7 linked regions of the Ovis aries genome follow. The protein of the gene in region 1 interacts with the protein of each later gene in a pairwise test. Links are inferred from orthologs where the notes say so. Each region holds a gene or a part of one and is shown in the gene's direction. Other genes may lie near its edges. The genes, in order: TLE5, TRIM41, TRIM26, FRS3, LDOC1, STX11 and SOX5.

Evidence for each region.
Region 2: the proteins of TLE5 (region 1) and TRIM41 interact in binary tests that used the Homo sapiens proteins (3 or more experiments, as listed by UniProt). The two-hybrid records come from large-scale screens. The link is inferred for Ovis aries from reciprocal best matches to the Homo sapiens genes TLE5 and TRIM41.
Region 3: the proteins of TLE5 (region 1) and TRIM26 interact in binary tests that used the Homo sapiens proteins (3 or more experiments, as listed by UniProt). The two-hybrid records come from large-scale screens. The link is inferred for Ovis aries from reciprocal best matches to the Homo sapiens genes TLE5 and TRIM26.
Region 4: the proteins of TLE5 (region 1) and FRS3 interact in binary tests that used the Homo sapiens proteins (3 or more experiments, as listed by UniProt). The two-hybrid records come from large-scale screens. The link is inferred for Ovis aries from reciprocal best matches to the Homo sapiens genes TLE5 and FRS3.
Region 5: the proteins of TLE5 (region 1) and LDOC1 interact in binary tests that used the Homo sapiens proteins (3 or more experiments, as listed by UniProt). The two-hybrid records come from large-scale screens. The link is inferred for Ovis aries from reciprocal best matches to the Homo sapiens genes TLE5 and LDOC1.
Region 6: the proteins of TLE5 (region 1) and STX11 interact in binary tests that used the Homo sapiens proteins (3 or more experiments, as listed by UniProt). The two-hybrid records come from large-scale screens. The link is inferred for Ovis aries from reciprocal best matches to the Homo sapiens genes TLE5 and STX11.
Region 7: the proteins of TLE5 (region 1) and SOX5 interact in binary tests that used the Homo sapiens proteins (3 or more experiments, as listed by UniProt). The two-hybrid records come from large-scale screens. The link is inferred for Ovis aries from reciprocal best matches to the Homo sapiens genes TLE5 and SOX5.

Annotation. Positions count from the first base shown.
Region 1 is NC_056058.1:18,524,229-18,528,191, forward strand, and holds the start of TLE5 (TLE family member 5), read left to right. Parts: upstream 1-1,163; 5' UTR 1,164-1,317; coding exon 1,318-1,344; intron 1,345-2,476; coding exon 2,477-2,574; intron 2,575-3,963. UniProt on the Homo sapiens protein: Transcriptional corepressor. Acts as a dominant repressor towards other family members. Inhibits NF-kappa-B-regulated gene expression. May be required for the initiation and maintenance of the differentiated state.
Region 2 is NC_056058.1:38,099,728-38,103,987, forward strand, and holds the start of TRIM41 (E3 ubiquitin-protein ligase TRIM41), read left to right. Parts: upstream 1-1,460; 5' UTR 1,461-2,202; coding exon 2,203-3,012; intron 3,013-4,260.
Region 3 is NC_056073.1:27,756,780-27,760,770, forward strand, and holds the start of TRIM26 (tripartite motif-containing protein 26), read left to right. Parts: upstream 1-1,191; 5' UTR 1,192-1,261; intron 1,262-3,991.
Region 4 is NC_056073.1:15,617,430-15,620,929, reverse strand, and holds the end of FRS3 (fibroblast growth factor receptor substrate 3), read left to right. Parts: intron 1-376; coding exon 377-538; intron 539-1,341; coding exon 1,342-1,499; intron 1,500-1,762; coding exon 1,763-2,677; 3' UTR 2,678-3,089; downstream 3,090-3,500. UniProt on the Homo sapiens protein: Adapter protein that links FGF and NGF receptors to downstream signaling pathways. Involved in the activation of MAP kinases. Down-regulates ERK2 signaling by interfering with the phosphorylation and nuclear translocation of ERK2.
Region 5 is NC_056080.1:94,166,926-94,169,985, reverse strand, and holds LDOC1 (protein LDOC1), read left to right. Parts: upstream 1-1,180; 5' UTR 1,181-1,262; coding exon 1,263-1,703; 3' UTR 1,704-2,560; downstream 2,561-3,060. UniProt on the Homo sapiens protein: May have an important role in the development and/or progression of some cancers.
Region 6 is NC_056061.1:68,707,661-68,711,739, forward strand, and holds the start of STX11 (syntaxin-11), read left to right. Parts: upstream 1-1,279; 5' UTR 1,280-1,415; intron 1,416-1,581; 5' UTR 1,582-1,764; intron 1,765-4,079. UniProt on the Homo sapiens protein: SNARE that acts to regulate protein transport between late endosomes and the trans-Golgi network.
Region 7 is NC_056056.1:191,733,130-191,737,204, forward strand, and holds the start of SOX5 (transcription factor SOX-5), read left to right. Parts: upstream 1-1,275; 5' UTR 1,276-1,344; coding exon 1,345-1,382; intron 1,383-4,075.

The DNA of each region.
Region 1 (3,963 bases):
GCATCTGTCCCTCCCTATCACCAGCTACAGAAGCTGCGGGGCTCAATACAAAACTAAACTGTGAGGACCCTGTTCAAAAATCATTTAGGAATTTCCAGAGACCACAAGGGCGGATCATTAACCAGAGCACAGCCCTTCTGGGAGCTGGGGCCCTATGTGAATGCATGAAGTTGCTGGCCCTGCCTCCCTGCCCTCATTTCCTCCCAAGCACTCCACCCCCCACCCCGTGCCAGGCAGTGCTGCCTCAGTGCCTTTGCGCTGGCTGACTCTGCCTCCTTGACTAAGCCACTACCCCCATAGCCTGCCAGCTCCTTCTCTCACCTTTGGGTCCTCTTAGAGGCCAAGGAGGCCCTCTGACCTCCCTCTGTTTAAAATCGCACCTTCCGGCCCTCCCTCCTGGTTTGTTTTCCCCATAGGTGTTACCACTGTCTGACCTGCTAGGGATGTGGTTCATGGGTTTGTCTCTATGTCTCATGACATCTCCACCAGGGCCACCAGGGCCTGGACTTTGTATCCCCTCCCACCCCACATCCTGGAGCGGAGCGAGGCTTGGTACACAGTAGGCGCTCCATAAATGTGTGTGGAAGCCATGGCTCCCAGGAGCTCGGTGGTTATCACCACCTCCTTTCTACAGAAGAGGAAATCAAGGCTCAGAAAACATCCCGTGAGCCAAGGTTACAGAGCATGTCCATGGCACGCGTCCGGGTCGCGCCATGACTGCGCCGGAGGTTTCGATGGGGGCAGCAGGGCCCCCCGGCTCTGACACATGAGGAAACCAAGGCCCAGGCGCGGCCGTGCGGGCCACCAGGCCAGCAGGGGCCGCGGCGCGGCGGGGGCGCGCCGGGCCCAAGGTCACCGCGCCGGCCTGCCCGGGGGAGGCGGATGGGTGGGGATCCGCGGGCCTCCCCGGGCGCGCGCCCCCCCCTCGGCGGCGCGCACGGGGCCCGGGAAGCAGAAGCGGCGGCGGCGGCGGCAGCAGCAGGTGGAGCCGGAGCCTCCGCGCAGCCGAGGCCGCGGCCACTGCCGGCGTCGCCGCCATTAGACAATAGGAGCGGCGGCCGGGCGTGCGGGGAGGCGGGCGGCGGGGAGGGGCGGGGAGGGGCGCCGGGCGCGCAGGAAGCGGGGCCCGGGGCGCGCCGGGGCCGGGCGCGCGGGGAGGGGGCGCAGGAAGCGGGCGAGGCCGGGCGCGGGAGGCGGCGGCGGCGGCCCGGGAGCTGCCGATCGGCGCCGGGACAAAGGCGCGGCCGCCGGCGCCCCGAGCAGCCCGAGCCGGGGCGCACAGCCGGGGCGCAGCCCGCGCCCCCCGCCGCGACTGACATGATGTTTCCACAAAGCAGGCATTCGGTAAGCGGGGCCCGCCGGCCCGGCGCCCACCCCATCCGGGCCCGGCAACCCCCAGTTCCTGGCTGGGCCATCCCCCAAGCTCTGGGCCCTGCGTCCCCCCAGGTCCCGGCCCGGCCCCCCCAGTTCCCAGCCGAACCATTCCCTCCCTCAGGTTCGGGCCCTGCACCCCCCCCTCAGGTCCAAACTCAGCGCCCCTCTCCAGGTCCAAGCCCTGTGCCCCCAGCTCTAGATCCCAGCCGGGCCGCCCCCACCCCCCAGCTCTCAGCTCGGCATCTCCCCCCCAACTCCTGGGCCCAGTCCCCTCTAGCTCTGGGCCCAGCGCTACTCCCCACCCCCGCCGCCAGCTCCCGGACTCCCTCCCATCCCCCGTAGCTCCCGGCCCCTCTCCCGGCTTCCGGGACCAGAGTACCCCGCTAGGTTCCAAGCCAGGTCCCCTCCAGCTCCCAGCTTAGATCCCCCGACCCCGCGCCAGCCCGGGCCCTGCCCCCAACCCCCCCAAGCCAGGATGGGCCTCGGCGGCCTTGGCCTCAGGCCTAGGGCGCCCCGGAAGCCCCACCAGGCACCTCTAAGGCTGGGGGTGCTTTCGGGGTCCGGGAGTGGGGGGAGACCCAAGGCGCACCCCTCCCGGAAGAGCGCGGCCTGGAGGAAGGGTGCTCAGAATCAGGGGTGCCCCCACTCGGAAATTTCAGGCGGTGAGAGATGCCCCTCCCCCAAGGGGACTAGGCTAGGAAACCTCATTCCCCCCCAACTTGGGGGGGTCTCTCTAGGACACGTTCTCCTCCCCCCAGAGGCAACTGGGCGCTCAGAGTGCACCCCCTCCCGGCGCTTTGGAGGCGCGGTAGAGGGCGCACCCTGCCCCCCACCAAGGGCGGGCCTTCAGACGCACCCCCACAGCCTGGGGGTGGCGGAGGACGAGAGGGCGCACCCACCCCCCTCGACTCGCTGGGAGAGGCGGGGGCAGGAAGCGAGGGCGGGGGCCGCGCCAGGAGCTGTAAACACGGGCCCGGGAAGTGGGGCGGGTGGGGGGGGCGCTGCAGCTGCGCCTGCCGCCGCCTTGGGGCCTCTGTGGCGGGGGAGAGGTGGATGTCTGCCCTGTGGGGTCCTGACCCGGGCCGCCGCCCCCTCCCCACAGGGCTCGTCGCACCTCCCCCAGCAACTCAAATTCACTACTTCGGACTCCTGCGATCGCATCAAAGATGAGTTTCAACTGCTGCAGGCTCAGTACCACAGGTGAGCTGGGGGCTGGTGGTCCCAACTCGGAAGAAGGTGGAGCCCCTTGCTCCAGACTGAGGCCTGGAGCGGAGATTGTGGCCTCTGCTTTATATACAGACTCCAAAAAATAGAGGCCATGAAGGTCTTAGTGGCAGGCGCTGTCTTTACCACTTCAGGGATATGACATTCATTTAGTCTTTAAAACAGTCCCATTTTTGTAGATGAGAAATCTGAGGCATCAAAAATGTCAATAATTTGCCCAGACTCAGTTGTCTGGTTTTAGAGCCCCTCTCCCCACCTCCACACCAATGGATAAAAGACCCCCAGCATCTAGAATTGGTGATTGATTCTCCACCTCCCCAAAGCCCTCCCCCCCCCACCCCCGCCCCAGATCTGTAGCCTGGTTTTGGAGAAAGGGTTCCTGCCACCCAGCAGGAAGGTGATTCTCCCTCCAGAATTGAATCTGACATTGCTAAAGGGTTTTGCCATGTGCCTGATCTAAAGAGAAAGGAACTATTTATTTTTCATTTTACATTTGGAAAAACTTAAGCCCAGAGATTTTTTGAGGTTGCACAGCAAGAAAGTAGCAAGATTTAGATCCCATCTCTGGACTGAAGGAAGCAGATCCTCAAGGCTGTGCTGCAGAGTGGTCTTTGCCTGGGAATCAGATGGGGAGTCTATATACCAGTGGGGTTTGGGGCCTCCCTGGATCTATTTACCCACACAGAAGTATTTTTTGAAGGATCCTGGGATTTCTGCAAGAAGAAATTGGAAAGAGTGATATATTTGTTCTTTAGAGGGTACTGCCCATTCTCCCCATTTGCTGAAGAGTGAACATACTTCCTTTTGTTTCGTCTTCCCTGCTGTCCTATCATTGTGCCCATTTCAAAGATCAGGAATCGGAGGTGTAGTTGATTGAAGGTTCTGATCCTGTGATATGGAGGGTTTAGGGGCTTTGCCCAACAGATCTGGCCTCTCTGAGCCTCTCCAGGGGGTCCCCTCTCCCTGCCTGGCCCATGCACACATCACAGTGACCACTGGAGCCGATCCAGTTCTAGAGATGTTGCCAGAGCGCTGTGTGACCTCAGATAGGTCACACCCCATCTCTGAACTTCACAGTCTCTGTTCGCTGGGCTTAGGCTTCCTGGTGTACACTGAGGGCTTCCACTGTGTTGGGGCTGTCCCAGTATCTACCAGTCCCTCAGGAAAGGCCAGAAATGCCGAATTTGGAATGAAATTGCACATGGACATTTTTAAAGAGAATTAGACTAAGTGTGGCTCACCTGTGAACCCAGGTATACAAGTCATGGTCAGTCTGGCAGAACGAAACTCTAAGTCCCCTGGGGTGACCACAAGATGAATGAAATATTTATTGGGTACTTACTGTATGCCAACATGAAGAGCATT
Region 2 (4,260 bases), about 20 Mb from region 1:
TAAGACAAGATTCCAAAGGGACATGGGGCTCCCTTTAGGGGCCGTCTGAACCACGTTCAGGTCTGGTGGTCCCATTTATCTGCCACAGTAGCGTTTGCAGCTCCTGGCACGGCCTAGTACATAGTTTATGCACGAAGATTCGTAGTTTGGGCGCGTTCTGACCACCATTTTATAAAGCACATGTCATTTTGGAGTTTCCACAAGAGGTGAGAAGCGCCTCGAGATCAGGGTCAATTCTGCGTGCCCAGTTCTGGCATTGCGCAGCGCCCAACACTCACTAGAGAGTCCCGTAACTTTCCCTGCTGTCCAAAAAAAATTTTTTTAATTAAGCAAGATCATGTTTTTTAAAAACATCAAGTATTATTTCTATCGCACAAACAAACAATCCATTTGGCTGAGATGCTCCAGGTACCACAGCAGCATCTTTACCGATACCGTTCTACATCCTAGCTAGGATTCTCTCAAGTAAAACCCAATGCCGCAAACCCAGTTTGAGCCCCTGCTCTTACACTGGGACTCCACGAAGACAGACCTCGAAGTATTCTGGGCGTGGAGCACGCGCGGTGCACAGCTCAGAAAGAGCTGAAGGACTCAATAGCACTTGGGGGGTGGGAAACAAAATTATTTCTTTTTTCTTTAAGGCAATACATTGACTTGGTTCAAGTTCAAAAGAGACAGAACGACATTTACAGAAAAGTGTCCTAGATACACTAATATTCATCCAGAGATAGACAACAACGATGATAATGATGGATAGCTAAACCTTATATCTCATTTACTGTGTGCTAGGCAATATTATAATAGTTTTGCACAACAGTAATTTCACTAAACCCTCTGAGATAGGAACTACCCTTTATGAATTAGCACAGGATTCTGGTGGCTCAGAGGTTAAAGCATCTGCCTCCAATGCTGGAGACCCGGGTTTGATCCCTGGTGTTGAGCAGTACTCTTGCCTGGAGAATCCCATGGACGGAGGAGCCTGGTAGGCTACAAGTTCACGGGGTCGCAGAGTCGGACACGACTGAGCGACTTCACTTAGTCACTTATAAAGCTAAACATCCCATCCCTTTCCCTTGTTTACAATTATACTCTATAGATTGTTTAGCACCTTGGTTTTTTCATTTCATTTGTACATTTTGGGGAGGATTCCCTTTTTTACATCTGAAGTGTTCCACTGTGTGAATGTGCATGTCATGATTTGCTACTGTTCCTTTACCGATGGCAGTTAAGAAAGTTCATCTAAACGAAGCGACAGTGACCGACGGTAGTTTCTACAAAGTGTGTGGAAATGCCAACTACAGCTGGGAGGATGGGAGGGGTCTCCGGTCCCACCTCCACCGCACTTCTACAGACCCCGCCCCCTAGTCAGTCTCGGACCGACTCTCGGAGTCTTCAAACAACAAAGTCCTTCGCCTAGATGGGCCGGAAGTACTTCAGGGTTCTCACCGACACCCGCCCTTCCCATTTCCGGTATCGGCCGTGGGGAGTTCCTGCTGCAGTTCTCCGTGTCCGGTCGGTAGGATGGCGCTGGGCCGATACGGTCATAGCATAGAGAGTAGACGGGTGCCAAGCCCTTCCAAGGTCCCCCGAAATTTATCCCCAGTGGCGGGCGATGGGGGAGGCCGGGCTTTCAGTTTCGTCTGCGTTCCCCACTCCCTCGCATTACAGAGTCGTACGCCTCCGTCCTTTTAGGCCTCCCTCCCTGTTCCTGAGTGCCTGCTAGAGCGTCGCCTCACCGTTTCCTGTCATCTGGAGACCCGGGGCGGGGAAGCGGGGGCAGAAAGGGGCGTAGCGTGACCTGGGAGGGAGCTCGCGATCTTGGGTGGTTAGCAGCACCGGAAGTGTTAGGGGAGGCCGGAAGTGAGGGGGCGGAGCCAGGAAGTGAGGAGGGGCGGGGGTTTATGAGGAGGCCAAGGGAGCGTTGGGGCAGATTTGCACTCAGGGCCACCTGAGGGACTTGGCGGTATCGCTCAGCTCTGTCCCCTCCCCTTTCAGGGACTCGGTTGTGGTCTGGGAGTAGGGAACTCTGTGTGCAGGGGTGTGTTGTCGGGAGGACATTTCTTTGGCTGCGCTTGAGGCGAGGTGTGGAGGGGCAGGGCTGGGGGTGGGGCTGGGTCGTCAGGGAGTCTGAGAGGGAAGACCCCCCCGCCCCCCGCCCCCACCACTCACCACCCGTCTATACTGGCTGACTGGACACTTAAGATGGCTGCCGTTGCCATGGCACCCAACCCTGTGCAGACCCTTCAGGAGGAGGCGGTGTGCGCTATCTGCCTCGATTACTTCACGGACCCCGTGTCCATCGGCTGCGGGCACAACTTCTGCCGAGTGTGTGTAACCCAGTTGTGGGGAGGGGAGGATGAAGAGGACAGAGAAGAGTTAGACCGGGAGGAAGAGGAGGAGGATGCAGAGGAGGAAGAAGTGGAGGCTGTGGGGGCCGGTGGGGGTTGGGACACCCCTATGCGCGATGAAGACTATGAGGGCGACATGGAGGAGGAGGTCGAGGAGGAAGAAGAGGGTGTGTTCTGGACCAGTGGCATGGGCGGATCCAACTGGGACAACATGGACTACGTGTGGGAGGAGGAGGAGGAGGAGGAAGACCTGGACTACTACTTGGGGGATATGGAGGAGGACCTGAGGGGAGAGGAGGAGGAGGACGAGGAGGAAGTGCTGGAGGAGGACGAGGAAGAGGAGCTAGATCCCGTCACCCCACTGCCCCCGCCTCCAACTCCTCGGAGGTGCTTCACCTGCCCTCAGTGCCGCAAGAGCTTTCCTAGGCGGAGCTTCCGGCCCAACCTGCAGCTGGCCAACATGGTCCAGGTGATTCGGCAGATGCACCCAACCGCTGGTCGGGGGAGCCGTGGGAACGAGCAGGGCATTTGTCCCAAACACCAAGAAGCCCTGAAGCTCTTCTGCGAGGTGGATGAAGAGGCCATCTGTGTGGTATGTCGAGAATCCAGGAACCACAAACAGCACAGCGTGGTGCCATTGGAGGAGGTGGTGCAGGAGTACAAGGTGAGAGTAGAAGATGGGAGTTTAGTTGGGGTGGAGAAGAAGTAAGAGAAACTGGGGAAAGGAAATGGTGTCTTTCCCGTCCAGAGATCCTCGTGCACTGTTGAGCTGATTCTCCTTACCTAAGCACTTACTGGCACCAGGATGGTTAGAGTGAGAAGGATCCTGGACACAGACAAAGTAGACACTGTGGAGAAGACCAGGGAAGACTGGCTTCCTCAAACGAAATCTGGTGATGTCATATCACTGGACTTTGTCTCTTGGGGAAAAGCCACTGCTGTTTTGCACTTCACTGTCCCTAAGTTATAGAAATGCAAGTGACAAGCCCTTAGGGCTTTACCACCCGTCTTATTTAACTGTGAATGACTCTTAAAACTCTATCCCTGATTAAAACCTCTAGAAATGGGAAGAACTTGCTCAGTCATAAAGTCCTGGCCGACTCTTTGCGACCCCATGGACTGTAGCCTGCCAGGCTCCTCTGTCCATGGAATTTTCCAGGCAAGAATACTGGAGTGGGTTGCCATTTCCTTCTCCAGGAAAGAGCTTGGGCCTCAAATAATAAGGTGTTCTGAGGAACAGAAGTGTGTATTGACTACTAGAATCAGACTCATATGCTCTGCTCTTGTTCTAATGGGTTCCCCACCCACTCCAAGATATGGCTTTGTTTTCTCCTTGCGGAATCATTCTTTCGTACTGGCCAGCACTTCTTACCTTTCCTGGGTATTTAAAAAGAGGGATAGGCTTTTAAGTCAGAAGATCTGGCCCTTAGTCTCTGAATGTCTTTGAACTTTATAATTTCTCCAGGATTAAAAGTTAATGTTTACTGAACACTTACTATGTACCCCTGCACTGTACTAAGCACTTTTTCTTGGACTGTCTCATTTAAAATTGAAAACCTGTGAGTTTGCTGTGGTTTGTATTCCCGTTTTACAGATTGGGAAACGGAAGGGAAACAGAAACAGAGAGATGTAAGTAATATACACACAGGGCCACACAGTTCCTCGTAACTACACCGCCTCCCCCCGCCCCGCCTTTCCTGGCCTATACTGTTTTACAACATCACCACTATTTAGATGTCTGTTGTTTGATTTTTCTGACATGTGACTTTTCTTCTCGAAGTTTGATTCTAATTTAGTTAACATCTTTTCGGACACAGGTAAAGGAGATTTGTGTGTGAGATAGCTGGTAGAAATAACATTTACCGAAGGGCCAGATGGTTTGTAGAAGTGGAACCAGGAGGAGAGGGTAGCT
Region 3 (3,991 bases), on another chromosome or scaffold:
GCCATGAAGGTGCTTCCTGGAGATCAAAGGACAGGATGTGAACTGGAGCCTGGAGGCCACAAGGGTGACAAGGAGATCAGTCATGAGTCTGGGCCGTGGGTCCCCCTAACATTTTCCTGAGACATGAAAAAGGCATTCCTCCTCCCCAGACCTACACCACCATACCAAGGACACCAAGGGTGGACCCCCCTGTCCAAGCATCACCCTCTCCACCCTATGAAGCCTTCAGGGTGCCTTCTTCTCCTCCCAGGCCTAAGAGCCCAGGACCCTAGCCTCCTGTCTCTTCATCCCCTTCATGGACCTGACAGAGAAAGACCTGCTGTCTGGATCCCTCAGGCCTGATCCCTCCACCTCCAAACCATCGAATTAAAAAGTTCTGAGCTCCTGTACCCAAATCTAAATTCTGGCCCCGAGGATGACCCAAGGTTTGGGGTCACGGGTCCCAGAGAGGAGGCTTCCCAGGGCCCCACAGGCTACAGCTGACCCAGGCCTCCAGCTGCACAGATTAAGCTGGTTCTGGACTAAACCCCCACCCCTCATCCCCCCCACCCCCCCACCCCTCATCCCCCCCCCCCCCCCCCCCCTCATCCCCCCCACCCCCCCACCCCCCCACCCCTCATCCCCCCCACCCCCCCAAAAAATAGAACAAATCGCTGCAGGCTTTTCCTAGCCCAAGTAAACGTAGAGTCTGGGCCGCGTGCGGCGAATTTATCTTGCTTGGAGGTCCTGCGCCGCAGCAAGCAGCCCCCTGCTCCTCCCCCTGCAGAATTTCCCTCTCCCAGATCTTGGTCAGACCCAGGGACCCTAACAGCAGCGGAGTGCTTGAGTTCCTAAAGTCCCTACCGTCCGAACCTGAGGAAAGCAGTCGGGGCTGGTCGATAGAGACCCTGAAGCCAGGATTGGACACTGATTGGCTTCTAGAAACCGAATACTCAATGGGAGTGAATACTAGGATCTCGTCATGAGTATCCAGGCAGAAAGGCCCGACACAGTTTGAGAGGGGAGATAAGAGACCCTAAAACCAGGAACGCTGGTGACGTTGATTGGCTTCTAGAAACCGGATACGCAATGGGAGTGAGAACTGTTATCTCGTCATGAGTATCCAGGCAGAAAGACCCGACACAGTTTGAGCGGCGAGAAAGTGAAACCCCAGGGAGGTGGGGAATCCCACGAGGTTTGACTCCCTCGCCCAGACCCTGAGAGCCTTATCCGGGGACCTGGGACTTTGCCCTGACCTCTCACCTACTGCCTGGAGGACCCTGTAAGTCAGAAGTTTACAAACTTTCGGTTTCCGAATCAATGTATTCGACTTGGGACCTCAAAGATAGTATCACTTATGTGTGTTGTATCTGTGAACATTGGCCATATTAGAAATTGAAACAACAGAAATCGATTGATTCAATTGTAATATTATTAACCCATTACATTAAAATAAATAATTTTATGAAAAATCTATTTTCAAAATGAAATAGTATAGTGAGAAGTGAGACTTCTAGATTTTACATTCTTTCAAAAGTTTACATTCTTTTCTTGTATGCTTCGTTAGAAGACTGAAGTATTTGGATATCTGCTTCTGTATTTAATTTTTTTTTATTAAAGTAAATTAAAAAAATCCAGCCTCACACAAGTATAGGTAAGGCAAGTATTTTGAATAACATTTTCAGATAATTATACCTACTCATCTTTGATATAACACTAAAACTACACAAGTGTTAGGTTTCATGTGAAACTTGAAACTATAACTGAATATTTCCAGATCTGTTGCATAAGAGTCCATAGGTCTGTTTTGTACATTGAATGAATATTATATCAATGCATTTTTTTTTACAGTAATGCATTGCTTTACCAAGTTTTATAGATTTTAGAGTGTTGACGTTTAAGATTAGCAAACAATCACATTTGTTAATGTCACCACAGCTTACACTAGAAAAGTTTGTCAGTACTGGGAAGCTGTCAAGATTAATTTTCTAATGAGAACTTGCATTTTATCATTGGCAATAATACTGTAAGTTGATTTCCTGGAAGGGAGAAACTCATGTTCATTATGCCAAATAACGAAATCTAAAAAATCATGTTTTCCTGTTATTCATTCTTAAAATGAAATAGTCTTCCATAAAAAAAGAAGCTAAGTCAGCTCAGAAAAATTATTTTCCTTGGGACATAGTACTTTAAAATGGAACAGAAGTATTTTATGTGTACTTCCCATTTCATCCTATCAGAGAGTCTAAAATGTGGACTCAAGAATGATGACTGTAGAAACAATAATTTTTAATACTACGACCCGGATATTTTTCAGTGAAACTTGCTTTATTATTCTGCAATTAAATTGTGGTGAAGAATTCATAAGTGCTATTGCTGTTTGTTGAAATAGGCTCATTTCTGCTAAGTTTTACCTCAGTGTAAATGTCAACACAGTGAAAAAGGTAGGGGCTTCCCTGGTGGAACAGTGGTCATGAAATGGCCCTCCAATGCAGGGGACAAGGGTTTGATCCCTGCGGGGGAACCGAGAGCCCATGTGTCAAAGGACAACTAAGCCTTCAAGTTGCAACTGCTGAGCCTAAAGGCCATGCTCTGCAACTAGAGAAATCCCTCATGCCTCAGTGAAGACCCAGTGCAGCCAAAATAAGAAATACATATTTAAAAGAAAAAGGTTAATACATTTTTGGTAATGTCATGAAAATAGTTTTAACCTCATGGATCCCATAGTAGGGTCTCAGAGACTTCAAGGGTTCCACAGACCACAGTTTGAGAAGTACTGTTCTGAGTAAAGCAGGGAGACTGCAAGCTAGCATCCACCTCTCTGTCTCTTCACTTCTAGACTCCCTCTTCCTGAGCTGGACTCTGTGCTTCCCAACCTTTATGTATTAGGGCTCTGCCTCTTGGTTCTTCTAAAAGTGAAGTTGCCCCTAGAAATTTGATGCCAGAGTGTCTCCACCTAGGAAGGAGTTGGGAGACAGGTGTTTCCCCTGTGGAATGGGAATAGTCTGCGCCTGAAGGCACAAGAGAGAAATTTATTCCTGACCCATTTTGGATTTGTTGGTACCAGCTTAATATTTATCCATATCCCAGAAATAAATCTGATGTAATCTGTATGAGAAATAGTATTGGCCATTTGGTTTTGAATGGGCCTAATGTACCTTACTTGAGGCCCACTAATATCATCAATAATAGTGCTACTCAGAGTTCTGGGTCTGCACTTTTCACGTGGTAGGTGCTAGCTCTATGTGGCTACTGAGCACTTGAAATGTGGCTAACATCACTGAGCAGTTGAATTTTTATTTAATTAAATTTAAATTTAAATAGCCATATGTGGCTAGTAGCTACTGTATTTGACAGAGCATATCTAAGTGGTTTAGTTTTCATTCTCCCAAGATACTGTATGACTCATAGATTGAAGTACATTGAAATTATCTTCATACATTTGGTTATGTGGGTCTTAGACATTACTGTAAAATACAGCAGGCCCAAGAAAATTTAATCTGCCTCCAGTGCAGGAGACCCAGGTTTGATCCCTAGATCCCCAGGAGAAGGGAATGGCTATCCATCCACTCCAGTAATCTTGCCTGGAAAATTCCATGGACAGAGGAGTCTGGTGGGCTATAGTCCATGGGTTGCAAAGAGTCAGACCCACTTTCACTTTCTTTAACATTATTAATCTAAACATAATTTATCACCTCAAGGTCATTAGTTTTCAAAAACACTCATCTTTGGAGCTATTTCTTATCTATATTACATTGAGACTCTTCATGTCATTTCTGTTTATCTGGTAAACATAAGCAAGCACTTATATCTTCACTTAGCCACAAGAAAGTATTTATTGAATATCCCATTATAAAATACCCTGTTGGTCCTACATAATTATAAAAATACAAAACAGAAGATAAAAACTTTAGAATCCCCACCACCTTTGAATTCTTTACCTATTATTCCTCCCCATAGTGTGTGTAAAGTGATACTTGCCCCCAGTTTCAGTTTTTGTTTCCTTTTACCC
Region 4 (3,500 bases), on another chromosome or scaffold:
GGAGGGCATGGCAACCCACTCCAGTATTCTTGCCTGGAGAATCCCCATGGACAGAGAGGCCCAGCGGCCCACAGTCCGTGGGGTCACAGAGTGGGACACAACTAAGTGACTAAGCACAGCACGCTAGATCTTAAGATGATGGAAATGCATAGTGTGTGTTGGGGGAGGGGAGTGAAGGCCTTGGGCCGGCTCCTCCCATGGCTCTTGGATATTGGCGAGTGTGCGGAGAACAGTCAGGATGCTAACCCTAACCCCTCAGGCCTGGGACTGAAGTTCAGGGACGTTTCCTGAACTCTGTGCATCCTTTCAACCTCCCTGGTCCTCCCCTATAGGATGCAGGGTCAGAGGAGCCTCATTTCTTCCTCTCCTTCTTCAGGGATATTTGCATTTAAGTGCTCCAGGGCTGAGGAAATCTTCAACCTCCTCCAGGATCTGATGCAGTGCAACAGCATCAATGTGATGGAAGAGCCAGTCATCATCACCCGCAACAGCCACCCGGCTGAGCTTGACCTCCCTCGGGCCCCCCAGCCTCCCAATGGTGAGGAAACCCCTCTCCTCAGCACCCCAACGCACACACAAGCACAGGTCCAGGGAGCACTGGTCTTGGAGGCATGAGTCAGGCAGGCAGGTGGAGGATGGCTGGGTGAGCCAGGCTTCCAGGACCATCATCCATCATCAGACAACTCCCAGGGATAGATAAGTCCTGGCCTAGACTAATCAGGTGACTCAAGCTGAGGCTGGGGAGTCCAGAGCCTTGTATTGACGGATGGTCGGGGAGCAGACAGGAAGACATTGGGTTTCCATGGAAACGGCAGTCTGGAGCCGCTTTGCTTCCTTTCTTCTATCTACTGGGTCATACCCATATACCTTTCCTGACAGCTGGTGCACCATCTCTGCCCACAGCTGTCTGGAGAGGTTCCCACGGTTTCTGCTTGTTCATTCACTAAATCACATCGAACGCCTGCTTTGTGTCCTGCCCTCCATCAGCTGGCCCATGAGGGACAGAAGAAATAGACACACGGTCCTTGATTTTGAGGAGCTTCCCTGGAGCTCACTGGCAGAGCTGGAATGAAGTGTAGGGTCAGTTCAGTGACAGCAAGGTGTGCCTTAAGTGTTTCAGATAAGGCTCTGATGGGGGGAGTGGAGTTCAAGCTGAGCGTTCAGAAGAATGGCAGAGGTTGAAGATCAGACACAAGGTGAAGACAATGGGGACTGCCAGTTCGGTGGGTGGGCCCTCGAGGACCCTGGGAGTGTCTCCCTGGGAGAGTCCCAGGCTGCCACATGCACGGTTGCAGGCAGCTGCCACCTGGTTTAAGGACCCCTTGTCTCCTGTGTGCCCAGCTCTAGGCTATACCATCTCCAGCTTCTCCAATGGCTTCCCTGGCTGCCCAGGGGAGGGTCCCCGATTCTCAGCACCCCGGCGCCCCTCAACAAGCAGCCTCCGCCACCCCTCGCTTGGTGAAGAGTCCACCCATGCCCTCATTGCCCCAGATGAGCAGGTGAGCAACTGGCTGCCCAGGGTCTTCCTGTTGGTCTGGTGGGGGTAGGGGGTTGGGAAAATACAGCACCTCCTGCCAGTGAGGCTCATGAGAGGGAAGAAAATGGACAGGGCCCCTTCCTGTCCCAAGAAAGGGAGGCCGCTTCCCTGGAAGGTTTGGAGGGCAAGGAAGAGGAGGAGACTGCAGCCCTCTCCCATGTGCTTCTCCTCTCATCCTGTCCCCTGTTCTCTGCTTCCTTCTTGCCCTTGGACCCTCCCGCCCAGTCCCACACCTACGTCAACACGCCAGCCAGCGAGGAGGAGCAGCGCCGAAGCCGGCACTGCCTGCAGCCCTTGCCTGAGGGCCGGGCGCCCTTTGCACAGCAGGCCCGGGGCCCCGACCAGCGGGACCCACAGGTGTTCCTGCAGCCGGGCCAGGTGAAGTTCGTGTTGGGCCCCACCCCAGCTCGGCGGCACATGACCAAGTGCCAAGGCCTGTGCCCGAGCCTGCAGGACGCCCCCCACCACAACAATAACAACGAGGGCCTTTCAGAGTGCCCGGCCCAGCCCAAGTGCACCTACGAGAACGTCAGCGGCGGGTTGCGGCCGGGGGCGGGCTGGAAACTGAGCCCGGAGGAGCCGGGCTGGAACGGCCTGGCCCAGCGCCGGGCTGCACTACTGCACTATGAAAACCTGCCCTCCCTGCCCCCGGTGTGGGAGAGCCAGGCCCCACAGCCAGGGGAGGAGGCCGGGGATGACGGTGACTCAAGGGACGGGCTCACACCCTCCTCCAACGGCTTCCCGGAAGGCGAGGAGGACGAGACCCCGCTGCAGAAGCCCACCAGCACCCGGCCTGCCCTCCGCAGTCACGGCAGCTTCCCCGTGCCGCTGACCCGGCGCCGAGGCTCCCCAAGGGTCTTCAACTTTGATTTCCGCCGCCCGGGCCCGGAGCCCCCGAGGCAGCTCAACTACATCCAGGTGGAGCTGAAGGGCTGGGGTGGAGACCACTCCAAGGGGCCCCCGAACCCCTCCGCCCCCCGAGGCCCTGTGCCCACCACGCACCCTACCCGCAGCTCAGACTCCTACGCCGTGATCGACCTCAAAAAGACCGTGGCCATGTCCAACCTGCAGAGGGCGCTGCCCCGCGACGACGGGACCGCCCGGAAAACCCGGCACAACAGCACCGACCTGCCTCTGTAGGGGCGCCCCTCCTCCGCCCGGCCCATCCTCCGCCTCCCGCTCCATGCCCTGAACCCCCACGCCGGGGCTCGGGGCTGCTTCGCAGAAGGGCACTGAGGTGGACCAGATGCTTACCGCACTGGCCAGAGTCCCCAAAGATATCAGCCGCAGAGTCCCCCGGTGTCCGAGTTGGGGACAGGAGGGAGGAGGACCAGGCGAGGAGGGAGCCGCGGTGTAAACTGTGAAGGGCCCCCCGACGGCAATTAGCACCCTCCCGTTCTGTCATCTGTCGCGTCTGTCGTCTGTGTTTTTTTGGTTGAAATTTGGAAACATTTTGTACCTGTTGATTTTATTTATCAGTTTATTTTTCTATTTATTGTTTTAAATGTAATTTAACATATTTATTATTAATATAATTATTTTTAAATTCTGACGTGGATGATGTCACATTTTTAAAGAGTTTTTTTCTGGCATGCCTGGGGTGGGAGTCCAGGAGGCCTCACAGAGGTAGGGTCTTCACTCTAGGGTGATTGTGGTATTTGTGACAAGTAACAACCATTTCTTTTTCTCCTCTAAGAAGCCCTGGCCAGGAACTGAAAGTTGCCAGGGACGGCTGCTCTGTCAAAGTAAAGTGACAAGGCACCTGGAGTCCTTGATGCCCAAAGGGGATCTGTAAGAAAAACTCCCCGGACCCTCTGAGGCTGTAGTCAGTGGGAGTGGAATTGAGGGGTGGGGTGCTGTACCATATTCACCTTCTCTGGACTCTCTCACTGAGTCCCCCTTCCGCCCCCAGGTGGATCCGATTGGGTACTGCCCTCCTTTCCCACCTTGGCCCCAAGGGGGA
Region 5 (3,060 bases), on another chromosome or scaffold:
GATGAGGTAGGGCCTGGTAGGCCATTACCAAGACTTTGGTTTTTCTTTTGACTGATAAGGGAAAACTATTGGAGGGTTTACAGCAGGGAGGGGAAGTGATCTAACTTTTGTTCTAAAGGAGTCCTGTCCTTACTCTGGGGAATACATACACTATAGGAAGAGAAGAATGGAAGTTAAGTGGTTAGTTTCAACAGCCTGTGTGAGAAAGGAGGGCTGGGACCAGGGTGGTATTGGTAGAAGTAACAAGAAGTGATTCGACTGGGAATATATTTTAAAAGGTGTTCCAACAGAATGTGGTGGCCCAGAGGCTGTCTCCCCAACTCATTTGTCAACTATTTGAATAATCGCATTCAAAGTAGAAAAGCAAAGCCATTTTTAAAACACAAGTGTTTATTGTTAAGCAGGGGATAAATACCCAGTAGTCAAGGGACACTAACATTAGGACAGAAATAGAGTCAAAGATAGGCAGGACTCCTGCAAATGGTGATTGGATGCTAAATTTTGCAGAACTTTTTACACTTTGCTATTTACAAAAATAATTTTAAACAAAGGGATAGAAGTACACAATACTATTTTCCAACCAAAGAAAAATCCCTTTTAAATATCGCTTTGTCATGAAAGACAGGACCCCTGAGGGTCTTTCATAACTCTTACAGGGTGTGACGCTGGCGTGCAGCCAGCACTGCTAACGGTTCTTTGGGTGAGGGAGATTTCATAAGCCAAGAAATGTGTTAAAACCACTCAGAGGGAACCCAGGGGCTACTGGCCCTCCAAGGAACACCGAGATGTATGAGTCGGCTTGGCTGAAGGGTGGTGAGTCCTTTAAACCTGAGCAGGTTGAACCTCTCTGAGAGATGGGTCTTTTGCGCTTGCACGGTCCAGGCTACGGCCCGACCCACATCCAAGGTTGGGTCTTCGCCTTTATCCAGCGGCCCCCGGACCTGCGAGCGCGGACGCCGAGCCCTAGTCCGGGCCACCCCGGCCCCGCCCCTTGCCTTCCCCGGCCCCGCCCCTTGCCTTCCCCGGCCCCGCCCCTTGCCTTCCCCGGCCCCGCCCCCTCCAGCCGGGCGGTGCCTGAGCGGGGCCGTCAGCTCGGCTGTGTGGGCGGAGCTTGCGCCGCCGCCGGGACCCCTGCGCGCACCGCCCCTCGCTCCTAGCCACCGCGCGTCTCCTCTGACACGCACTTCCTGCGAGGCCTCCGAGAGCACCTTAGCCTAGCCGAATCGAGCTGCGCCCTGCCCTGCCTTTCCAAGCTGTTCGCCATGGTGGATGAGCTGGTCCTGCTGCTGCACGCGCTTCTGATGCGGCACCGCGCCCTTAGCATCGAGAACAGCCAGCTCATGGAACAGCTTCGGCTGCTGGTGTGCGAGAGGGCCACCCTGCTGCGCCAGGTACGTCCGCCGAGCTGCCCTGTGCCCTTCCCCGAAACGTTTGACGGCGAGAGCTCCCGGCTCCCCGAGTTTATCGTGCAGACGGCGTCTTACATGCTCGTCAACGAGAACCGATTCTGCAACGACGCCATGAAGGTGGCATTCCTGATCAGCCTGCTCACCGGGGAAGCCGAGGAGTGGGTGGTGCCCTACATTGAGATGGATAGCCCCATCCTGGGCGATTACCGGGCCTTCCTCGATGAGATGAAACAGTGTTTTGGCTGGGATGACGACGAAGAAGACGAAGACGAAGATGAAGAAGATGAGTATTAGGCCCGGAGACCCTCGGGCCTAGAGGGGGAAGGGCACTGCCCTCCGCCACCCCCGCTGCCTCCCCGCCTCGCCCCGCCCGGAGCCACCGCGCTCCCCTAACGCTGTGATCCCCTGGCCTTTCCCTCCCCTCTGGTTGTCTTCCTCACCCTCCACTCTCTGCCGTAGTGCTTGTCTTTGTTCCAGGCATAGTGCTCTCTAGTCACCTGCTGCTGAGGCTGGGGCGTCTCTGAAGTGCACTCTGCTGCCCACTCTGGCCAGCCCCAGGACCCTCACTGCTCGTTAGAACTGTGTTCTGAGCCCCAGCTCTAGGGCAAGCCCCTCTTACAAACCGGTCAGCCTATACTCTGCCTTGCTGACTGTCAGGCCTGCACCTCTGCCCAGCGACCTGCGCTGCCACCCAAGCACCCTCCACCAGATTCCAGCGATAGACCCGGCCTTTGGAGATCAGGAACAATCTAGAAGATGCCTTTGTGGGCTACACCTCCTGGGACACTGATTTGGACTGCTCACCAACAACTCCACCCCCCTCCCCAGGGGCTAATCTTTCAACTTGATTAATTGTTCCCTACTAACTCCAGGTCTTCCTCCTGGCCCACCAGATTGCTGCAGGGGCCCATTGTGCCTGGCAACCCAATTGTTGACATTTCTCCTATGCATCAGTTTTGCACACCCGTCATCTTCATTTCAAAATTGCAGCAGTCCCATCGAGGTGTGCATTTGGACAAAAATACTAAAAACCGAACAATACAAACAAAAGCAAGTACTCAGCCCAGCTCCTCAATGCTACCTGGAAAAAGCATTTGCATTCTTTTCAATAAATTTCAAGCACTACCAAAAAAAAAAAAAAAAAACAACAACAGCAAGTGTCTTTTCATGGTTAAGGGCTATCATTGGCCTTTGCCACTTTCACCCTGACTCATTATTCCCACTGGCATCAGGGAATCTCATTCAACTTTCAATCTCTGTACTCCCCACTGTCACGACTAAACTCCAGAGGACAGTTACTACAGGGCTTTATGGGGAAACTGGTACTACCCCCACTGATGCCTTTCTTATAGCCCTGGTGAAGGGAGTGTTCTCTGGTGCTTCTGAGGTGGCATGGGTAAGGGGTGGCTGAGCAGGCAGGTGGCACACCATCCCAAACTGGGACAATTTTGAGAGAGCTTCAAGGGGACACTATTAATAATTAGACTGGAACAACAAGTACAAGTCAGGACACACAATATTTCTATTTTCATGAACTTTGGGGTTCTTCCTCAACATGGTCAGAGATGTTCTGCCTGTTAACTCTTAGTGCCTGTGGGGTGCTATTGATTTTAGGCTTCAATACATAGTGTAGCACATTGTTTTAAAACCC
Region 6 (4,079 bases), on another chromosome or scaffold:
ATACACATATTTTTTTTTAATTGAATACGTATTACACAATCTGTGGTTGGTTGACTACTTGGCTGTGAAACTGCAGATACAGTAGCCTATTAAAATTATACTTTGATTTTCTACTGTGTGGGAAGTTGATGCCTCTAACTACCATATTGTTCAAGAGTCAACTGTATTATATAATTGAAATTTGCTAAGAGAATACAACTTTAATGTTCTCACCAAAAAAAAAAAAAAGATCATTATGTGAGGTGATGAATATGTTAATTAATTAGGCAGTGGGAGTCTTTTCACAATGCATACAAATATCAAATCACCACCATGTATGCTTTGTTCCTTACATTTCTATTTGTCAATTACATCTCAGTAAAACTGAAAAAAAATCATGGCTTGATGATACAAGATGAATGTATAGTTTAAAAGGAAAAATCATAGCAATAATAAGGAGAATCATTCAAATGAGTGTTATCTTCAAAATAAAGAGACTCATATGGATAAATGAAATACAAATTACTCCAAAGCACTTTTGGAATAGACATTTGTGGTTTTGCTTCATCAAGAAAAATTTTATCAATGCTGTTTATTTTAACATTATTAACTTTATACTTGTAACGTAGATTGGCTTAAATTTTATAGTTTTTTAAAGAACTTGTAGTCATACAAAATTTATGCCATATTTATATAAGCTACATTGTATTTATATTATATTCAAGTAATTTGTCAACACTGCTGCTGCTGCTGCTGCTAAGTCGCTTCAGTCATGTCCGACTCTGTGCGACCCCAGAGACGGCAGCCCACCAGGCTCTCCCGTCCCTGGGATTCTCCAGGCAAGAGCACTGGAGTGGGTTGCCATTTCCTTCTCCAATGCGTGAAAGTGGAAAGTGAAAGTGAAGTCGCTCAGTTGTGTCCGACTCTTCTCGACCCCATGGACTGCAGCCTACCAGGTTCCTCCATCCATGGGGTTTTCCAGGCACTAATTACCATTTATTCTTTTTCCTTGAAGAGCAGTGTAATCCTTACTTAAGCTGGAAAGATGATGTAGTAGGACCATAAAAGAAATAAGGAGTGAATGGGTTATGTCCAACACTCATATCTACATTGTAATCAATTAAGAATTTCAATTTGCATGGGGGCATTTGTTTTGTAAATGTTTCTTTGTGACTAGGGATGTTGAGTTGTGTCAAAAGTTCCTGTTTCATAATTGACCTTTGCCATCGTCAGCCTATAGAAAATAGGGTTTTAAGAAATCAGATGGGGTGGCTTGCTTTCAACACCCAGTACTGGTGACACAGACCATGTCAGCTGCTAGAAAGGATTCCTGCTCACACTGGGACACATAAGGAAGGTGAGGAGCTGTGGACCCGAGAGGAACATCTGTCAGCTTCTCCACGGTCTCCTCAACAAGCTCATCATTCCAAGAGCAGGTATCCTCAAAGAAAGACTGTCTGCTGAATCTGTGACCTCTCTGCTCGAACTTCAGTCTGTTTTCATTGCATCACTTATTTGTACTAAGCTCATCTTTAAAATAGTCATTATTTAAAACACACTGTCTTTTGTGGTGCCAACATTGTACTTTTACATTTTCTTTAGGATCACAAAGGACTGCTGGTTGTGGTCTATGAACTCAGAAATTATAAACCACCTTTGATGAAGGAATCCATCCATTTGAAGTCTGTGTTAAAGGGAAAAATAAGACAAATAAAGACATGAAGCTGCCTCAAGGGGATGAAATGGATGACGAGTAAAAAAAGAAGACCACATCTCAACCACAAAGTAAGGCTTTTTGCTGTAGAAGCTTATAGTTTCTAAATGGATGGCACAAATTCTTCTAAATGAATAAACTATAGATGTAAAAATGTTTAGCCTATTTGTGAACACTACATCTTTGAGAACTAATTTAATTATTCAGATTTGAAACCAGCATTTGCTAAACATTTGTAAAAGGCATGGCTTATTTGTTACCTTCTGTTGGTGATTTTTTTTTGTTTCACTTTTATCAGTTCCTCAGGACTGGGCTCTGGTGCAAAAGGGATTTACCAGAAGTGAGCATTGATCAACAGTCTCATCTTAAAATACTTTTGCAAGTTGTTATGCAAAATCACAGTTGCAGAAAAACTGAGGTATTAAACAGATCAATTATGCTATCTCTAGTCCAGATTTTTTCAGCCCATTCTCTTTCACAGAGAATGTTCTGTTAGTATGCATAGAGTAGCCAATACATGCTAAACTTCAGGCCTCTTACAACAAGTATGCCAGTATATCAGAGGAACGTTTTCACTTATTTGCAATTTCTGTTAAATTGAAAATACAATGGTGTCATTTCAGGAACTATAAGCAAAGATAACATTTAATGGACACCAAAATAGTACAATTTGCAACCTCGCTTTCTACTCCTTCTTGTGTACCATGCACAGAAAAATGAGCTTATTTTAAAAAAGATTGCTTTTCTAAGAGAGATGTCTGCTGCATGTTTTATTTTTTGAATATTTGTATTTATTTTTTAATTTTTAAAATTCTTATTGGAGTAGAGTTGATTTATTAATACAGTGTTCTGCTAGTTTCAGGTGAACAGCAGTGAGTCAGTTGTACAAACAGCCACTCTTTTTTAGATTCTTTTCCCATATGGGCCATTACAGAGTATTGAAAAGAGTTCTCCTTATTAGTTATCTATTTTATATATAGTAGTGTGTATATCTGCATTCTTGTTTCTCTTCTTTTTTTAGTAGTTTTTCTAAGCTTACTTTTAGTTTGATATAACAGGATGAATAAATCATTTGCTTTGGAAAATTTTTCTTTTTTATTTTTTATGTGGCCTTTGAGTTGCTCTTGGACACTTTTTTGTAGTTAGGAACATAAACTTTTGTGTTGGATGCTAAGATTTGGATCCAGGTTCCTTTGCTTGCTGGTCCTGAGACAGTGGACAGGAGATTTGAAGGCTCTTTTCCTCCTGGGTCGGATGGGGTTGAGTTGTGCATACCTCATACTTTGTGATGCAGATGATAAGTGTTGGTTATCTTTGATATGAACCTGCTCTCAATGTGGGAGACCCAGGTTCAATCCCTGGGTCAGGGAGATCCCCCTGGAGAAAGGAATGGTTAACCACTCCATTATCCTTCCCTGGAGAATTCCATGGGCAGAAGAGCCTGAGGGGCTACATATAGTCCATGGGGTTACAAAGAGGTGGACATGACTGAGTGACTTTGATATATTAGCATTATGGGGTTTAATTTTTTAAAACGATCTGTTGTTTGCTAATATTTGTGTGTTTATATCTTAAGTTTCCAAGGTGTCTTAATGTGTCTGGGCTAAATGGTACACAAAAATACTCAGACTGAGTGTCTTATAAACAACAGAAATTTATTTCTCACAGTTTTGGAGGCTGTGAAGTCTTATATCATGGTAGTGATGAATTTGGTGTTTGATGAGAGCTTGCTTCCTGGTTCATAGATGGTTATCTTATTGCTATATCCTCTCACAGCAGAAGGGGCAAGAGAGTTTCCTGGGGCTTCTTTTATAAGGGTACTAATCATGAATCATGTTTTTGAGGTTTCTATATTCATGACTTCATCACCTCACAAGGTTCCACCTCCCAGTACCATCACATAGGGTTTGGATTTAAACATATGAATTTTAGAGGGACAGAAATATTCAGTGTATAGGAAAGGGTTAGAAACTCTGTTCTCCTATATGCTGTGTATGTTGAATAACAATGGCTTGTTTGAAGTACTGATGTACTAATTTCCTCATATACCTTTAAAAAGTAGTTTTTTGGGAAAAATAAATAAATATGTTTAAAGAAAAGCTTAGTAGATACTGGATAAATGAAACCTTAAAATTTACCTATTTACTTTATAAAGTCTTATTTCTGTATTTCCATAAATTACATTTTATATAGATAAGCTATATGCAAAAAGATTTGGATGTGAATCTGAGAATATTTTTCTAGTCTGAGTGTACTAGAGAAAAATTTATATCATATGACATACAACATTGTTTCTTTGAAAAGCTGACCAGCGGATCTAAATAAGATGAAAATATCATCAGGGAACATTTTTCATAGACTGTGGGTATAAACATTTCAGAGCAGA
Region 7 (4,075 bases), on another chromosome or scaffold:
GTGTGTGTGTGTGTGTGTGTGTATGAAGAATGCACACTATCTCGTGTTGGTGAGTGTGTGCTTACTCCCTGACCAGATGCTGCGGTGCACGGGGCAGCCACCATCTCTGCATGCGTGTCTGTGTAAGTGTCTCTCTCTCTCTGTGTATGTGCCTCTGTGCCTCTGTCATTTCATGTCAAAGGTACATTACCTGATTACCTTCCTCGCCTGCCAGATTTTTATCTAGATAATTGGAACTGCTATGGAGGCTGTGCCTTGCCAGCCAGCTTAGGAGCTGCAGAGCCCTAGTTTGTCCACCTTGTTATCTGTGGCTGCCTGGGCAGAGGAAATTAAAGAGATCCCCAGCCAGGGGAGCGCTTCCTGCCCGACTTCCCCAGCCATCCCAAGCAGGACAGTTTGTGAGGACCATCTTTTTGTTTTCATCTGTTGGTTTGGTTTGGGGTTCTGTTCCCTAGAGTGTGTGTTATTTTGGCACGTGGATACCTAGTCCCCTCCACCTCGCACATCGTGTTTTATGGAGTTTGGAGCTGAGGAAACTTTGGTTGGGTTGCCAGGACGTTCGCACCACTTTGTGGAAAGCGCGAGCTAACAGTGAGACCGACAGAGTGAGTGACAAGTTGTTTACAGGTTTCCTTGAAGGGGCCTCTGCTATATTTCAATCTGTCAAAGTTGCTTTTCTTCCCTCAGAACAATGCCTGATTGTTGTGTGCAAGTGTGTGTGTGTATGTGTGTGTGTGTGTGTTTCCGTGTGCGCACGGAGAGAGCCTAGAAAAGGGTGAGAAGGCATAACAATTCTTTGTGTAAAAATGCTATTACTAATATTTAATCTTTTTGCTCAATGAGTTAATCAATGCAGTTGAATCGGGGTTGGGTTCGTGTACAGATTTCTCGTTTAATCAGTAGCAAATGCATTTTCAAAAATCATATTTTGTGTATGTATGTGTGCATGCGTGTGCGACTTTTATTATTTAGAGGAGAGAGTATGGGAGACACACTAAATGAGTTGACTTCTCACATTTGGTGATGTCTAGAAGGGAGAATTAAAAGGAAAGGACAGGCACCCTGAGGTTGTCTAGTGCCTTGCAGCCCGAGTGTGCGGCTGGAGGAGGGGGGAGCGGCCAGACCCCGCTGCTGGAAGTGCGCTACCCCTTTAAGAGACTGGTCAAGGAGTCCTAGGAGTGGGAGGGGGGAGAGGGGGAGAGGGGGGAGAGAGAGATTGAGAGAGAGAGTGAGAGAGAGAGAGAGAAAATCAATTGGTTTAGAAGGTTTGGACTCACTTGACAGGTTCAGTTGGAGACGATCATAGGTGGCTGCTGTGACAAAGGGAAATTGTGCTTTTCCAGCATGCTTACTGACCCTGATTTACCTCAGGAGTTTGAAAGGTGAGTACAGTTTTCCCCCTCTGATATATTGAAGTGCAACTCTCCCATTTTACAGTAGTCTCTGAATCCACTGGAAGATGCTCGCCTAAAACGTGTTTGTTAGAGAAGCTTTTAGCGAGTGCTTCTGCAGTCTTGTTAGCTGATTTTTGTTGTGATTGCCCAGACCAAATGGAACTGATTTGCAAAGTCTCCGAGATCTCTGCTAATGTTTCTAGGTTGTGTCCTATAACAGGAAATTAAATGAACATTAAGCATCTCTCTCTTTCTCCCACTCTCTGCTTTTCTCTTTCTCATTCACTCTCTTACTCTCTTCCTTCGTTGATATTTTTCTCCCCTTCCACACCTTTTAAAAATGCTTTTGTGCAGAATGTTACCATTTTCAACATCTCTGTGTCGTAATTTCTGGGGTGACAGAGGGCTTTGGTGGTGATTAAAACGGACGCTATAAGTTCCTATTTGATCCTTCTGTAAAACTTTGGAAGCTGCTCAGTAAAGCACATGATCTTTTGTTGATATAAGAGAGCAGATTTTTTTTTTTTAAAGAAAATGTAACATCACAGTAATCTATTAGTACACTACTCTTGAAATGTCAAAAAAAAAAAAGAGAAATGGGGATGATCCCTTTCTAAGTTTTGTGGCCACTTTTTGCACTGTCTTAAGTTAAATTTTGATTTATTTTATTTTCTATTTTGCTCTGTGGGAATAAGTTTTTTGTTATTATTATTTCTTATTAGAGAAATATGTGCTAATACCCTTCCATTTGATGTTGTTGCAAGTAAAGAGAGCTTTGAAAGAATTTTAGCCCTCTTCGTGTTCCTCTAAGTACACATTGCAATTTTAAAATTTGAGTTCTTATCCCAGCATAAGTTCATTTTTTGGAACTATAAATAGAATTTTGTTTGCCATTAAAAAGAATTCAAACTTTGTATTCTGTATGGTGAATTAGAAAAAAAAAGCTAAAAAAAGCCAGGATGCATGATACCCAGGCTTTTTTTTTTTTCTTTTTCATGAAAGCTACCTTCTGTATAAACATTTGTTGTATCTGACTATGCAATGCAAGCTAGGTGCTAGACCAGCTGGTTAAAAATATGCTAAGTCAAGCTGTTCATCGCTCAAAAGACTGAATTTGATATGAAAAGACGAAAAAAGAAAGGACAAAGATTAAAACATTCTAGAAGTGAAGCAGTGGAAGAGAAGAAGGGTATTGAGAATAAAATAATGCTTGAATATGGTCATATATTAGAGAAACCAACATCAGATCAGGGAAGAAAATAAAATAGCCAGTACATATACTTTAATACTGTCTTCTTTCTTTCATTTCATCTTCTTTTTTTAAAAACTTAAGATGCATCTTCACTACATAATTCCAGCGAATGCCTGAGCTTTCTTAACAGTTTTGAGTGATTTTTTCCCCCAAAGTTCTGTATATTAACTCTTTAGAATAGTTAGTTTTTTTTGGTAAACATAGCCTGTTTCATATGTAGATACTGAAGTTGTTTATATTGGAACATACTATCGCTTAATACTACAGTGAGTTTTCTAGTATGTACAGAGCAGCACGAAATGATAGTATACTTTAACTCTATACTTTTCAGAAATAAAACTCTGAGTCTGATTTGTAAGTCTGTTAACCTGACTGTTCTTATAAAAAGGTAGTTACATATTAACAGGCTGTAGCCTATTCCTTTATATAGGCAAGCTTTCCTGCTGTGAACTTTATTTGTATCTTTTCAATTATCTCTTTTTAAACTAAACTTTTCCATTTGCTATTCTGATACTCAAATCTCTTAACATTTTTTTTCCTCCTAGTGAGAATTTCATTTTTTATCACCCAGAGGCATGCTTTTCTAACTGCCTAATTAGATAAGCAAGTGATAATCAATAGAGTTGTCAGTATAGACAGCATATTTGGAAATATTAGTAGCTAAAATAATTTTGAAAAATGTCCTACAGTGTAAAATTTCTTAATAATTTCCCCTGTGGTTATAATTGGTAGTACATACAAAATCTCAGTAAATCATTACTATTTGTTTACATTGAATATGTACGGCTGAGAGTATCTATAGTTACCCACACAGAGTATATATCATGCAGACTCAATATTGAATATTTATATTCTCCATGGGAGGTATATATGCTGTAATTATACTACTCTCTTATATAGTCAGTGTTCTTTTTGCCTTTTCAACTCTCTGCAACTTTCATTGAATATGTAGGTCATTTCTATCAAGTGTTAATTTTTATTCTATTTGCTCACCTGATATAGATGAGTAGTTCACTCAAACTTAGTCATAAATTCAAAAAGAAGACTTTTAAGTTTCTATATGAAATAAAGAAGATTGCTCTGGAGGGCATTACTAAGTTGCTTAGAGTTTATGTATTTTGGAAGTTGTAATTTTTTTTTCTAGTTTCGATTAAAGTCTTGACTATCTTCTATTATCCTTTGCAACCTGTAGACTATTTGAAACTTTAAGGAATATTCAAAACAAGTATCTGGATCAAAATTTGGATGTAGATTTCTATGTCTGTATTATCAGCTGTAGAAATGAACATGATCAATACTGTCCTAAACAGTTGTTAAATAATTCAGAAGCAGTAACAATTTCATTGTCTGCTAAAAAATATTCAAGAGGTAAAATAAAAAGTGATTACAAAAAGTAAAGAATTTGAAATACTTAATTTTTATTTTCAAA